2 linked regions of the Diceros bicornis minor genome follow. The protein of the gene in region 1 interacts with the protein of each later gene in a pairwise test. Links are inferred from orthologs where the notes say so. Each region holds a gene or a part of one and is shown on either strand. Other genes may lie near its edges.

Region 1 (8,098 bases):
GTCAGGCGACGCTGACGCTGGGCCCTGCGCAGGGCAGGTGAGGAGGCATGATGAGCCAGGTAGGCTCCACAACAGGATTTACTGAGAAGCTACCCTAGGCACCCACAGTAAAAACGTCTACTAATCTCTGAAATTTCCATCTCTTTCACACCTGTGTTCTGTCAGCTTCTGCAGAGTTTTACCACAGTAACACCACTAAATCTCAACGGCGACCTGCACAAAGGCTTGTTCCACAATTTTACAGGCCAGCTGTGGCTCTGCTCCACCTGGGGACCTGGGGTAGGGAGGTGGACATGCAGTTCCGGAGCAGAGGGCAAAGGGGCAGTGGCTCGGCTGTGCCCGGCCCTCAGGCTCCTGCCGGCAGATATCACCACCCCCACACTGCATCACGGCCACGCCCGACCTCCACAGGGCTCGGAGACATTCGCTCCTCGGGAAGGACACCAACGACAGGCCTGGAGCAGGTGGACTGGGCATTTCGAATAAAATAAAATAAGATAATCTACCACATACCCGACTTCTTTTGAGGATTAAAAATTTATTTTCAAGTAGTCACAGGGAACTACCGGCTGTTTTAGCTTATTTTGGTAAAAACAGAGCTCCACGTGACGTCTACCCTGCTATACAAGTTGCACATGCTCCTAAATATTCTTTTTGGTGCTGCCTGAGCCAACCGTACATCTAATTGTACCAACGAGAACATGGGTAAAGCTAAACAAGGCTCTTCATTACCACCGAGGAAAAGTGAGGGCAGCTTTCTGGATAAACTGTCAGTAAACACCACAAGGCAGATGTCCTGTTAGCGGAGAGCTGGGGGGGGGGGAAGTCCTGTTCTGTAGAGGCGCACACATGATTTCAGCAGAAACAACGGAGAACAGGGAGAAGGGGCCAGAATCTCTGAGCCAGGCTTTATGGAGGATGAGCCTGGATCTAGGGAGGTTTAGGAAATACTCAAGTTCATTCCAGTTCAAGTGTCAGAGGCAGAATTTAAATTTTCACACTTTCTCCAGCTCCAAAGCACTTACTTTGTCTTGTGCCCAGTACTGGCTCCCCAAAGGAAAGGGACAAAGAGAGGGAAAGAGAAAATAAGGAGAAGAGAGGTTAAAAAAAGGAAAGTTGAGAGGGAGAAACAGCAGAGGGCAGAGGAGGCAAGAGAGAAAGGAGACAGGAGAGGAAAAAGCAGAGGGAGAGAAGACCAACAAAGGAAAAATAATATTGAAGGAGAACAAAGTTGGAGGATTGACACTACCCAACTGTAAGACTTACTATGAAGCTACAGTAACTGAGACAGTGTGGTACTGGTGAAAAAATAGACAAAGAGACCAATGGAACAGAATAGAGAGCCAGGAAAGACACCCCCATAAATACAGTCAACTGATCTTTGACAAAGAAGAAAAGGCAATACAATGGAGCAAAGATAGTCTTTTCAACAAATGGTGCTGGAACAACTGGACATTCACATGCACAAAAATGAATCTACACAGAGACTTTGCACCCTTCACAAAAAATAACTCAAATGGGTCACAGACCTAAATGTAAAACAGAAAACTATAAAACTCTCGGAAGACAACATAGGAGAAAATCTAGATGACCTTGGTGTGATGACAATGTTTCAGATACAACAACAAAGGCACGATCCATGAAAGAAATAACTGATAAGCTGGAATTCATTAAAATAAAAAACTCCTGCTCTGTGAAAGACAGTATCAAGAGAATTAGAAGACAAGCCACAAACAGGAAGAAAATATTTGCAAAAGACGCTGTTATCCAAAATATACAAAGAACTCTTAAAATTCGACACTAAGAAAACAATCAGATTTAAAAATGGTCCAAACAACAGGCACATGAAAAGATGCTCAACATCACTAATCATCAGGGAAGTGCAAATCAGAACCACAATGAGATGTCACCTCACACCTGTAATGATAGCTATTGTCAAAAAGACAAGAGATAACAAATGCAGGTGAGGATGTGGAGAAAAGGGAACCCTTGAGCACTGTTGGTGGGAATGTAAACTGGTGCAACCACTATGGAAAAAAGTATGGAGTTTCCTCAAAAATTTAAAAATAAAATAGAATTATCATATGATCCAGTAATCCCACTTCTGGGTATATATCTGAAGGACATGAAATCACTATCTCAAAGAGCTATCTGCACCCCCGTGTTCACTGCAGCATTATTTACAATAGCCAAGACGTGGAAACAACCTAAGTTCCATTGACAGATGAATGGATGAAGAACACACAAAATGGAACATTATTCAGCCATAAAAAAGAAGGAAATTCTGCCCTTTGCGACAACATGGATGACCTTGAGGGTATTATGCTAAGTGAAATAAGTCAGACAAAGACAAATACTGTATGATCTCACTTATATGTGGAATCTAAAAAAATACAAAACCAAACTCATAGAAACAGAGAACAGATTGGTAATTACCAGAGGTGGAGGGTAGGGGTGGGGGAAACGGGTGAAGGGGGTCAAAAGGTACAAACTTCCAGTTATAAGTTCTGGGGATGTGATGTACAACATGGTGACTGTAGTTAACGATACTGTATTGTATATTTGAAATTTGCTAAGACAGATCTTAAAAGTTGTCATCACAAGGAAAAAAACTGTAACTACATGAGGTGATGGATGTTAACTTATAGCGATAATTATTTTGCAATATATACATATATCAAATCATTATGTTGTAGACAAACTCACACAATGTTATATGTCAATTATAATCTCAATAAAACTGGAAAAAAAAGGTGCGCAACATCATATGCCATTAGGAGATTACAAATTGAACCAACAGGCCTATTAGAAGGGCCAAAATCCAAAACACAGACAACACCAAATGCTGATGAGGATGTGGAGCAATGGGAAACTCTCATTCATCGCTGGTGGGAATGCAAACGGTACAGCCACTTTGGAAGACAATTTGGCAATATCTTAAGAAACTAAACATACTCTTACCATACGATCCAGCAATCATGGTCCTTGGTATGTACCCAAAGGAGTGGAAAACTTATGTCCACTCAAAAGCCTGCACAAGGATGTTTATAGGAGCTTTATTCATAATTGCCAAAACTTGGAAGCAACCACAATGTCCTTTAGTAGGTGAATGGATAAACTACGAAATCCACAAAATGGAATATTACTCAGCACTAAAAAGAAATGAGCTATCAAGCTGTGAAAAGACATGGAGGAAGCTTAAACGCTTATTACTAAGTGAAAGGAGCGAATCTGAAAATGCTATATACTGGATGACTCCGACTATATGATTCTGGAAAAGGCAAAACTATGGAGACAGTAAAAAGATCAGTGGTTGCTAGAGGTCACCGAGGAGGGAGGGATGAACACATGGAGCAGGAAGGATTTTTAGGGCAGTGAAACTACTCTGTACACTATGATGGTAGATACGTGTCATTACACATTTGTCCAAACTCATAGACTGTACAGCACCAAGAGTGAGCCCCAGTGCCAGCTATGGTCTTTAGACGACAGCGAGGTGTCAGTGTAGGGTCACTGATTGTAACAAACATACCACCTGGTGGGGGATGTTGACAGTGGGAGATGCTGTGCGTGTGTATGGGATAGGGTGGGGGTACACGGGAACTCGCTGTACCTTTTCCCCAATTTTGCTGTAAACTTTGCTCTCAAAAAATAAATTCTACTACATAAAAAATTAAAAACAATAAAAATAAACAAGCTGAGCAAAGCAAAAAAAAACAAAAACAAAATCAGTAAACGACCTTCACTGGTGACTTGCAAAGTTCACTTCAAGTCACCTTTGCAGCGGCCCGGCCTTCTGGAAGGCTGAGGAAATCCGGAAGGCGGGGACCCCCCTCAGGTGGGAGGTTAGGCCTTGCTGGCCTCCGGGCAGCTGCGCGCGAGGACCGGCAGGCCCCGGAGGGTCGGGGCGCCCCCCACCGCCGAGACTCTCTGGGGGTGCTAAGCCAGGCTGAGACTCTCCGTGAGGGCGCTGGGCCGGGCCGGGTCGGTCCGGGAGGACAAAGAGCGTCCCCGGGAGGAGCCGCTCTCCAGCGCCTGCGGCCCGGGACGGTGTCCCCAGGGCAGGGCGCCAACCTTCTGCGCGCCCCGGGGCGACCGGGGCCTCGGGTCGGCGGTCAGGGGCTGACCACGCGGCTTACCGGCCGCCGCGAGCTCCCCCGAGCGCCTGGTGGAGACGGGCCTTGTCCCTCGGGCTCTGCTGCCCCCCAGCGGGCCGCCGCACCGCGTCACTGCTCACTGGGGACGCGAGGACGTGGGGACCCGTGTGCCGGAGCGAGCTGTCTCCTCCGCCCCTAACTGGCCACCTTTAAACCTAAACACAAGCTGGCACGCGCGCTGAAAACCAAAGAAGAACGCGCGCGGGCACGGGAGCGTGTCCGGCGCCAGGTTGGGGCCACCCCGTCGCCGCAGCCCCGCGTCCTCGCGCCCCGCGCTCGGGGAGTACCTGTCCCGGCGGAGCGCGTCCCGGGCGGCCCCCACCCCTCCCCGCCTCTCCTTCCTCCCCTTCCTCCTCTTCCTCGCCCTCTGCCCCCTCCGCCTGCCCCGCCTCCCCGCTCGCGCCCTTCCAGGCGGCCGTGTCTGCCGCCTTCCCCCGGGCGGCCCCCTGCCCCCGCTCCTCCTCCCCTCCCTCGCTCCACTCTTCCTCCTCCTCTTCCTCCTTCTGCCCCGCTCCTCCCCTTCCTCCTCCTCTTCCTCCTTCTGCCCCGCTCCTCCCCTTCCTCCTCCCTCTCCCTCTTCCTCCTCCGCGGCCCCGCCTCCCCCCTCGGGCCCTTCCAGGCGGCTGTGTGCCTGGCCACCCTCGGGTCTCGGAGCTGTGCGCCCCGGCCAGGCCCCGCCGCGGGCCCTCGGGAGGGGGAAGCGGAGGGCACCCCGGGTGGGGGCCCTGTGGACGCCCCCGCATCTCCACGGCCCGCCGTCCCCGAGCTCCGGCCCGCGGGCAGGAACGCGCGCCGTGCGTCCTCGGGGAGGTGGGCGGCAGGCTTGGGGACCCGGCTCGGAGGGCGGGCAGAAGGGCCCGCGCGGGCCGCGCGCGTCCCGCTGCGTGCGGAGGCGGCCGTCAAACCGCTAACGCGCGGGGCGGGTTCGCGCGCGCTGTCGTCACCGCCGAGCGCACCGGTTAGAGGGCGGAGAGAAGACCGACACCAAGCGAGAAATACCCTGCGGGCTGCGGCGGCGTGGACGCGCCTCTCCGGGCTGGGCTCTGGTCCTCCTGGTTTGGTCCGCGGCACCGCCGGAGCGCGCAGGGCGTCCGCGGGGTGCTGCCCAGCGGGCTGCCCGGCCCGGAGACGACCCTCGGCGCGAATTCAGAGCCAGATCGCCCTTCCCAGAAGACTCGGGGTCAGCCGCGCAAAAGGAATTAGACAAAGGCTTCCCCCACCTCTCTGAACTTATAAAACGCCCTTAAAAGGAATTTGGAGCCACTTGAGGGACAGCGCGTTTTCTGGCCAGAGCGTCACCAGGGTTCTTTTGCCCAACAGGTTTGAGGAGGCAGAGAGCTGGGCGCGGGCGACATGGCCCTCGTGCCCTACGAGGAGACCGCGGCGGTGGGGCTGCAGAAGTTCCACAGGCCCCTGGCCACCTTCTCTTTTGCAAACCACACGATCCAGATCCGGCAGGACTGGAGGCACCTGGGAGTGGCGGCGGTGGTGTGGGACGCGGTAAGCAAGCCCGGGGGCCTCTGACAGCGTCTGCAGCTGGTTCTAAGACTAGCCTGTACTTTTTAAAATAAACAGCTGTCTTGAGATACAATTCATATACCATACATTTCACCTATTTAATGTGTACAATTTAGTGATTTTTTAAAGAATAATCAGAGTGGTGCAACCAGCACTATGCTCAATTTTAAACATTTTCATCACCTACCCCATCCAAAATAACTTCTACCCATTAGAATCATTTCCCTTTCCCCCTCCCCCATTGCTTTTTAAGGGTGAGTAACGGAAAGCAGAGGGGAGTTGAATGACTTGGGTCAGGGGTGGGTGAGGAGCAGCAGCCCCTAACAGCTTTGGACACTCATTTAGTTAATTTATTTTTTTTGGTGAGGAAGATCAGCCCTGAGCTAACCTCTGTTGCCAGTCCTTCTCATTTTGCTGAGGAAGACTGGCCCTGGGCTAACATCCGTGCCCATCTTCCTCTACTTTATATGGGACGCCGCCACATCATGGCTTGACAAGCGGTGCGTGTCTGGGCGCCGGGATAGGAACCTGCGAACCCCCGGTTGCGGAAGCCCAGCGCCGCACTTAACCGCTACGCCACCCAGTGGCCCCTAAGTTAATTCTTAAGTCAAAATTTTAAAATAGTGCACAAAGAATCTTTTAAAGTGACAAAACATGAAATGAAGATGGTGTATTTTCTTTGTTTCCCATAGTTGTGATGGTCACGGAATTATCCTTTTTATTCTTCTCCCAGCACAGTGACTTGCCCTCCACAGCTAGCACCACACCTGGGACTCAGTGGGAGCTCAGTTAGTGTTGGATAAATGACTGGCATGGATACAGTTTTACAGCCTGAACATTGTGTTAGGGATGTCAGAGAAATGTTTAGGAATAAAAATCTCCATATGTTCTAACCCAGTAATACCACTTCTAGGACTTTAGTCCAAGGTGACTACGTGACAAGTATTCCCGAAATGAATGATAAAGATAGCTGCTAGTGAGTAATGCTCACCAAGAAGAGGAATTGTAATTATACTTACAGCCTATGGCCATGAAAAGCACATTATAGTCAACAATTATGTTAACAGTACACAATGCCTTATAGAATTGTATTCGAGTGCTGGCTCAAACATCAAGTATCCAAAACTTTGGCCAAAACTCACCTTTTGACGCCCAGTAATGTCTGGTGAGGGCCCTGTGGGGTGGTCAGGGCTGCAGCTCCGGGGCCTGGGCGCTGCTCTGCATTTTCCCTCTGGGAGGTTGTGACCTGGCTGACCTGAGCTTGGGTGGGGACTCGACATTCCCTTAAACAAACTCTCAGAGACTGTTCAGTCAGCTCTGCAGAGTAGTTTTGTGAACCCCAAGTGTGAAAACGCTGTGACACAGTATCGGGACCCATCTCGTGTGGGCAGTGTCACTGACTGCTGCCGCCCCGTTAGGGACTTAGGGGGCCTCGGGGACCTGCGGTGGGGGCCAGGTGTCTGCGTGCTAGTGGAGTCCCTTGCGTGCTGTTGAGCTGGGAGCTGAGCCTTGCGGGGGGGTTTGTGTGTCCTCCCCGCAGAGCGTAGCCTGCTTGAAGCCCCCCAGCCCCTCCAGCATGTGCTGACCCTCATCACACTGCTGTGTTTTGACCCAGGCTGTTGTTCTTTCCACGTATCTGGAGATGGGAGCCGTGGAGCTCAGGGGCCGTGCTGTCGTGGAGCTGGGTGCTGGCGCGGGGCTGGTGGGCATAGTGGCTGCCCTGCTGGGTGAGTGTGACCTGCCGGCTCACTCCTGTGTGAGTGGACTCGTCGAGAGGGGCCTTGGCTGTTTCCATGGTGCAAATCCTTTGCCAGTTTCTCCCGTTCTGGATTACTTTCCTTTCTCCTGTACTTATGAGTTATGGGCTGACTGCTGGTGCTCTCAGCTCTGGGAGGGCTAATCTCTCTCTCTGTCACCCTGTAGTTCATACTTTTCGTGGGGCATTGCTTTGCCTCCTTCAATTCTCCGGTGCTGATAATAGGATCTGAAGGCAACCTTGAGTTCAAGGAGAGTTATCTTGTTCATGGACATAGTTGTTATGTCCAGGGCTCTCCCGTGCCCTCTGGCGCTTAACTGACAGGTGGGCAGAGCAGAGTCTCTTTGCTTCACTGCTGAGGAAACGGCTGGTATTTCTCTTCTGGGAAGGGTCGGCCCGGCTTCAGGTTGTACTGACATATTAAACAGTTTACAGTTTGAATTGATATCAAGGTTTGTCATTTTTTTGTTTGATATGCAGACACTGATTTAGGCCTAGAGCATTTTTAAGCTTCGTTTTTACTTTATTATTCATTCTTGACTCCTTTCTACAACTTCTGGCTTATACAGTTCAAGCCACCTGATGATAGGATAGACCAGCTGCTAAGATAGAATGTCCATAATGTTCATCACTTCAGTACTGTCACCTGGGGCTCTTCTGCTTCCGT
Region 2 (8,259 bases), on another chromosome or scaffold:
TGGGCTTATGCAAGTTATGAATACCCGTAAGTCCTCTATTGGTGAACTGCAGTTACGGCTTAATTTGTTTTCAGTGATGTATGTTCCAAACAAATCTGGTACATTTTGTATCTAGAAAGGGCATCTCACTACCATACCCTCCTTCCATCCTGTGCCAAGAAGGTATGCACACCCCAAGTTATGCACCAGTGAACAGAGAAGGGGGTAATTCACTAAATACGGAAGGGCAGAGTTGGACACGGTGGCTAGTTCTTTGTTAGTTAAGGATTAATCAGGTCTATAAAACTATTTGATCCTTGCACAGCTTTGACTCCAACTTGAGAAATTCAAACAGGTCTGATTAAGCCACCCTTGACACTGAAGTAGGATACAAATTTGGCTCAGAGCTTTCCTGCTGCTAAAGTGTAACACACATCAGTCCATGATTCATACGGTCCATACAGAAAAGCAAAACAAGTTGCTCAGGGGAAACACAACTATTCTTATTACCAAGACTTCAGAAAAATTTCTTTCATAGGACACCCTTAATTACAATAGGAATTTCAGGATGCTTTTTCATATAACTACCCCTCAGTAAAAGCAGTCAAGAAAGAAGCTGAAACAATGGAATGAAAATAAGCAGCATTCCTAAGATTTGGCTTAATCCAAGGACAGGATGTAGAAGGCAGTGGTTCTCTAGTTTAGTAAATGGAGGAATCATCTCACTCTCTTGCTAAAATACGGATTCCTGGGCCCAGATATTCTGATTCTCTAGCTGTGAAGGGCCCAGAATCTGTATTCTAAATAAGCAATTGAGATAATTCTTATGAATCCTAACTAGAGCAGTAATCTTTAACAAGATGCCCATCACAATCACTGGGAACCTCTTTGAAAGTACACGTCTCTGTATTTCCTTAGAAGTAATAAATCATCTTTTCCAGAAGTAGGACAAAAGAATCTAAAATAATGCTGTCCAGGTGATTCTGATACATATTCTAGTAAGTAGTGGGATTTAGAGGAATGAAACATATCCTTCAGGCCAATCCCTCGCTTGCAGGTATTCTAGGTTGCTAAGTAAAAAGTCTAGGCATTTCAGTTTTCTGAGTTGACGACAACCTCCCATGAAAGCTGAGGGACCTAAAAAGAAAGGCATGCCTTTTTTCCTCCCTTCTTAGCAAGAGCAAAGGTATAATCCACAGGAAGGCTCCAATACACCTTAGAAAACAATTCTATCTCCCAGATAAATAAGTAATCCCCAAAGTTTCCAAAGTTCTATGCCACAGAATGTGGCTGAAATAACAGGGGCACATTTAAACCCAAACGCCCACTTTAGCCATAAAAAAAAAAAAATCACAATAAGCAAGCCAAGAATATTTACTTAAAGCACTAGTTTTCTAGCCACTCTGCCAAGATTAACTAGTTGTAAAATGTACTACTATGTACCTAATAAGTTGATCTGCCATATGGTTGTTAGGAGCCAGTTAAAAAAATGGGAAGATGTCTGCCAATCAACAAAGACGATTTTAAGTTTAACGAGTTGATCTTAAGCCTTCTTTTGTCAAGTGATGAGACTATAGGGCCAACTGTGTTTAGAATCTCTCCTAATTGAAAGCAATAAAATGATAACATCAGCATCAAACATGCTTATCTTTCTGTATTCTGTTACGTAAATTTACCATGTATATTTTGAGGGCGAGAGGGAGTGAAGGAAAAAGCTTTGTTTCAGTCTCATTAGAAATCATTATAGGACCAGTTAAGAGTCTATTCCTATCCATCTTGACTATGCTACTGAAGTATACTTTGATTGAAGATTTACCTGTTTTGAACAAAAGAATTTTTAGAAAAAGTCATTTATAGTTTTCTTCTCCATCCCCCTCAAAAGGGAGAACAGACAGCAAGAATTTTCAAGATCCTCAAAGATGAACTTACCGCCCAAGAGGCTTTCTTGTGTTTTAGAACCTCACAATTTTCACTTGCTCCTTTGTGGTATTTAGCAATCACAACATCCTAAAATATGTAAACATTAAAAAAAGCATCATCTTATTAAGGAATTATTGTTAATCTAAACACGTGTGAAAAATGGTATGGCTGTGTTAAAAAAAGTTCTCATTTATTAGAGATACAGACTTATTTACAAGTGAAATGATAAGATGTCTGGGATTTCCTTTGAAATACTGTACTTCAGCACACACACACACACACACACACACACACACACAAAGTGGGGCGGAGACAGAAGAAATAAGATTGGCCTTGACTTGTCACTGTTGAAGCTGGATGATGGGTACACATTTCATATACCATTCTCACTTTTTTCTGTACGCTGAAAAATTTCCATAATAAACAGTAAAATAAAAAGCATTATCTTATTAAGATAGACACAATTCGGTTTTAGAATGATTCTTTTGAATTCGTTGAGAGATCTTAAGATGCAGAATAAAAGATCTGATAGAACAACGATCTCATATAACAAAGTAAAATGTTTTTGCAAGTTTTTGAAGTATAAGGGTAGATATGAAAAAGGATCACAATTGGGAGACAAAAACAGTTAAAAGTAAACATTCCCATAACAGAAATATTTGGAGAATGCTAAAACATCTATTTCAGCAGTGACAACACAAAAGTGCAGTTGTAAACCTAAACTCCAAACCAAATGCAATTCAGCTTACATCTAGCCACCGCCTATGCCAGCCCACGGTAGGTGCGGTGTCTGGGGAGGCAGAGGATTTAATCATTACATTTTACAGTTAAAAAGCAATAGCCAGGAGAAAACGGACGGGACTGCAGCAGCAGAGGCAAACGCCTGAGATCCTGGCTTTGTCACTTAGAGGCTGGGACCTTTCCAAGCATCAATTCGGCAACTGGGGATGACAATGGTACCTACCTGACAGGGTTGTTGGGAGGTTTAATTATGAGCATGCATGTAAAGAACACCAGCTCGTAACTGGTAGGACTGTTGGTGGATTATTAAGGACGGAACGTTTACCAGGAGGCCCGGGCGAGAGGAGGGCGCCGGCGGCGAGGAAAGAAGACTCTGCTCCGTCTCCACCCGCCCGTCGCCGAGCCAGGGGCGCAGGCCCAAGGGATGCTCAGGCTTCTTTTAGGCGCCCGTTTCAGGCTCCAGTTCGCTCCGTGCTCAGGTTGGGGCTTAGCCTGTAGGCGCCAGAACAAGTCTAGGCAGCGGTTCCTCAGGTCCGACCCCAGAGCAGGAACGTGGGGAGCAAGGTAAGACTGTAGCGCCCGCAGCGACCTCCGCCCAAGCCGCGCCGGGGCTCCATCCGGGTTCTCCAGGCGGCTTCCCGCCCGCAGCCCGGGCGAGGTGGCTCCCCGCACGCAGGCGCATTAACAAAAGGCTGGAAGCCCGGCCGGCTCGAGTACGGAGCATGCGCGCTGGCCCTCCCCAATTTTTTTTTTTTTTTTTTTTTTAGATTTTGTACGCGGAGCTGGGAATTACTTGCTTGTTGTGTCTGCCAGAAACGATGAGTCGTAGACTCTCAGGAATGGAAGGCATTGTGAAGTCCACATAGTTCTACACTTTAACATTTAGAGCACTGGTAATAAAGTTTTGTGTCAGGCTTTTTGCTTGGAGATTATAATGCTCCAATAATCACCATTTTCTATGAGGAATCAATGAGGAAAAAGAGAAGGAAGCTCATTCTACTCCCAAATTAAACATTCAGGCAAATGGGACAAGCTGTACATTCCATTCAGATATTAACGGTGGAGGATGAGCTTGCGTCCGCTTCCCCATGCAGGTTGCCCCTGCTTCCCATGAATCAGCATGTGGATGAATTTCCTAAGAATCATCCTCCATCTTAGAGAGATTTTAAATTTTATTTAAAATTCTTTTTAACAACAGGATCTTATAGTAATAAATCCATATTAGAGAGAGTTTACAGAAAAACTCCAAAGTAGAAACTAGAAAACATTATTGAAAGAAACAAACCCAAATATAGCCCTCTTTCCTATTTTGGGGATATTTTCCTCCAGAATTCTTATAAACTTAATGAAATGACATTTTATTCATGTTTGTATAGTCACTCTTGTGAGAAACATCCTACAAGGCTGGGGGAGGGGCAAGTGTCCAAGAACGTTGGTCAGGTGCAACATTTTCAGGTGTTGTGGGTGAACCTGATGAAGACGGAGAGTCTGCTTAAGGTTTCTGTCAATGGAAGAAATGGCAAAAGACCAGCCTTCCTGGTCCACAAACCTGGGCCTTAAATACCAGAGAAAGGAGTAGGCTTTAGAGGCAGAGATACTTGGCTTTATGTCGGGGCCCCAACACAAGTTACCTGGACTCTTAAGCCCATGTGCTTATTGTAAAATACGAATATCGTCCATTACTCACCCCATGAAGCTCTTTTGAGGAGATAACATACGAAAATTACAGCACATAGTTCCAGCACTCAAACGGCAGCTATTATTGAGATAATAAAATCAAAGCTCAAATCTTGAGTAATGTTCTAGATGTTACCTTTTTTTCAAAATGAAACAGAAATTAGACATGATTTCAGATATTACAGAACTCTTCCTAAAATCAGAGTAACTTAGGTTTCACAAAAGAGAGAAAAGAAGCCCAGAACGGTTAGGTGACACGTTTTTCGAGTTAAAGAATCCTGAAATTTTCTAGTTCAAACTCACAGAAGCTAACCTAGGCTCCCTGCCAGTCCTATAAACTACTTTTCTGCCAAATATTTGAAATAATGCTACAGACCACTCACAGTTAATTCTCAATTATGTCTTTATTAACAAAAGATAAATAAAATACAAAATAGACACCAATGTCAGACTTTATGTTGAACCATCCTATGTTATGGTAGGAATCTGAAAACATAAATTTGTGACATTCTTAAAGTAGATAAGAATTAGACCTATTTCCATGGCTGTTTTAATTTCATAGTAGTCTGAATCTAGATACCACGTATATCTATAATACTTCACAATTTGACTCATTTACTCTCCCACGAGCACTATTTCTGAGATGCTAACTTAAGACAGTATCCTAGTGGGTTTTGGTAGCTTAGAAAAGCCAGTGAGCTGTTGAAAGTCAATGTACGATGTACAGGTTTCACTGATCCCACTCTCACTGTCAGTGTTATCTTCACAATGTTCTTAGAAGAGGCCTGAAGATCATGGCAATCTCAGTTACTAATATCCCTATAAGCTATCCTTATAATTCTTCAAAGAAACCTTCCATTTGAGGTCTTTTTGCAAATTTTACAAAGTGACACCTGCTGGCTATAAAGATTAGGTGCAATGGATATTCTACAATCTTATAAAATCCAATATTCCTGATTGTTACATAAAGGCAATCACAATCAAAACAACAAACAGTATCAGAAACTATATCCTCTGTGATAAAGGAAAGGATTTCTGTATCTAAAGACTCATGCCCAGAATGGTAAAACACTGAGTACTGATCAATCAACACTGACTCAAGGAAGACAAAAGTTATTTTTCCATTCCAAGGCTAACAGATTTAGTTCTGGGTGTAAGGTATGGGGAAATATTTAAAAAATCAAAATTTTATAACCAAGTAGAAAACAGAATTATTACTACACAGATTGACATTGGGGATAAAGTTATTCACACGTTCTACAGATTTCCTTTCAGTAACCCAAACCCCAAGATAGAATAATTTTTTTTGCTTCAGACCAGGAAACCCTTAGAAGGCAAAAACAAATGACTATCAAATAACTACAATTATAGTTACTAGCAATTAAAAAAAAAATGAAGCCCTGGTTTTAAGAAAGAGTAATTAATCTGTCTTCAAGATGTGTGCTAACACTAGATAAAGCGCCATAAAAATTGAGGAAGTAAAGTTTGAGACATAAATGTTGAGTGGAAGATATTCTTGATAGGTAGAGAGACAAGGTCTCTTTCCACACAACTAATATAAAATTGGAAATGAAATCTTAATCTGCATTAATATAACTGTTTTTCTTCTTTGTTTCTTTTGTGTGGAAAGGAATGAATTTACTATGAGACTTCTGGAAGCTTTATTGTACAGTCAGGCAGCAAGAAGAGTAGACAGAGATTTTCCCATCCATAATCACTGGCAAGAAGCTAAAAGAATCTATCAGCAGCGTCTATCTTGGGTGACTGTCTATGACTAGTTACTACTGTCCAAGGAAGGAGGCCATGGGGTCATCTGGCCTCTGACGTTTCATTCTATAGGCCTCCATTTCCTCTTCCGTGGGTTCCCGAGTTTCATATATGCTATTGTAGGGCCGCTTCCTCTCATCAATCTGCATGATCTCCTTGACATGAAGAAGGCGGGCCTCCTCTGCATTCAGTGCCTACAGTGAGAGGAAAAACATGAGTACCATGGCTCTACATCAGATCTCTTTTGTTCAAAAGTGGCAGAGTACCAAAAGACCTCACTGAATACAAATTGCCGCATCAAAAACCTAGATTGCCTGAGACAGTTGGGAGTTAGCCCTTCCACTGTCAAGCTACAACTACTCACTATTTGGCTCATATATTTTCATAGAGTACAAAACATTCTATGACATTTCCAATGTGAAAGAAATTTTATTTAATAACAAAAATTGAATGAGGTCCATTTTACTGACAGAAGCCAGCAACTGATAATTCTGGTGGAGACTGCAATTCTGATTTTTCCCCAAGGACTTGTTGAAACTTACAAATTATAGAGTTAAAAGGCAATTCTTCCTGGGCAACATGTCAATAACTCTAAAATAACAGCTTTCACAAGCACAATTCTTCTGTGCATTAGTGATATTTAACAAATAATCCACGAAGCAGGCAATACCAAGACACACAAAATCTCCATTTGCATTCTAGACCAGATGGATACAATGTGACCTGAGCAAATCACCCAGACTCAAGCTCGTTTCCTCATTTTTAAAATGAGCTTGGAGACAGAACCAGATAATTTCCTAAGGTCCCTACAAATAAAGAATAGTGTTGTCACTTTAATATTTATTTAGACTTCACAAAGTACCTTTTTTAACTTTTCATGTTTGTTTTCTTCATCATCACTATCTGAACTGCTCTTTCGATGCTTCTTCTTCTTCTTTTTCTTCTTTTTCTCCTCTTTTAGTTTTTCCTGGTGAATCTGACAGGGAGGATTCAAATATAGTGTTATTAATGTAAAAACAAAGCGCTAGTGCAAGTTTTAAAGTCCTCCCTCCAGGACTTAAAAATTTAGGACAAATGATTATAGACTTACCTCCATGAGGGTCTGAGGTTTTTTCACAGATTCTTCTCCAGTGATATCATTTATAATACATTCCTCTGAATTCTGTGGGAAAATAAATGTAATTTGACTTGAGTATCATAGTTACCAATCATCTAAGAAAAAATTAAAACTTGAAACATGAGAAGATATGTTTCATCCAGACTTTGACTTAAGAGCTTTGGCTGTTTTACATCAGTAAGAACTAGAGGACAATTACTTACAGCAATCTCCTTCCCAGCTTCTCCAGTACAATAGGAATACTTGAAAAAAGAGTGACAGCATTTGTATCCCCATCGGCCTTCTTTCCAGTAAGATCCCCAGATATGCTGCAGAGAGAGACAGAGGTTACTTAAAAAGGAACCTGAAACTAGGGACTCTCATATACTGTTAAGAGTATAAAATAATACAGCCCTTTTAAAGGTGATTTGGGAGGAAAATTATGAGGATTCTAGGGCTACCTAACAGGGAGAGGGTGGCCTGACCTCAAGTGTGAGAAGCAGGCATTACAGTTATAATGGTCTAAAAGAAATATTTAGGATATCTGATTTCTCCTGAAAGATTTAGAAGGACTCAGAAATTCTGGGTCCACATTCCCACTTGTCAATAATTGGCTGTTGCTGACGAGTGGATGCCCCTATTAGACAGGGTTTGTCTTCACTAGTCGACACAATTTGCCCGGCTCACTTCATTCATATACGATTAGTGGCCTAGCTCCTACAGGTAGTTAGGTTTTTGATCCCTGACTTGGAGAGACAATTGTCTGGGGGCATCAGAGTACAGCAGGTGACATTATATGCTTTTTGAGGTGATGCAATATGAAGTATAATGCATCACCTGTGAAGTGTTCTTGTCAAAATATTTAACTTATATTCAATCAAGCCTTTAGATCTGAATTCCTGTTTATAGGAAATACAAGGGACAGAGGAATAAGTTATACGATATCACTAGGAACCAGTCAAATACAGAATATGAGACAGTTTACAAGATAACTGGCCTGATCTGTTAAACAGTCACTGTCATGAAAAAGGAGAGACACACTCTAGAAAAAAAGAGATATAACAACCAATAACAATCAA

Evidence for each region.
Region 2: the proteins of METTL21A (region 1) and FAM200C interact in binary tests that used the Homo sapiens proteins (3 or more experiments, as listed by UniProt). The two-hybrid records come from large-scale screens. The link is inferred for Diceros bicornis minor from reciprocal best matches to the Homo sapiens genes METTL21A and FAM200C.

What each region holds. Positions count from the first base shown.
Region 1 is NC_080749.1:84,488,064-84,496,161, reverse strand, and holds the start of METTL21A (protein N-lysine methyltransferase METTL21A), read left to right. Parts: upstream 1-4,887; 5' UTR 4,888-4,951; intron 4,952-5,254; exon of another isoform or gene 5,255-5,477; 5' UTR 5,478-5,510; coding exon 5,511-5,657; intron 5,658-7,290; coding exon 7,291-7,402; intron 7,403-8,098. UniProt on the Homo sapiens protein: Protein-lysine methyltransferase that selectively trimethylates residues in heat shock protein 70 (HSP70) family members. Contributes to the in vivo trimethylation of Lys residues in HSPA1 and HSPA8.
Region 2 is NC_080740.1:75,839,437-75,847,695, forward strand, and holds the start of FAM200C (protein FAM200C), read right to left. Parts: upstream 3,248-8,259; 5' UTR 2,899-3,247; coding exon 2,864-2,898; intron 1,987-2,863; exon of another isoform or gene 1,909-1,986; intron 1-1,908. Other genes in the region: pre-mRNA-splicing factor SLU7, read right to left, coding at 6,099-6,278, 6,947-7,060, 7,175-7,246, 7,405-7,509.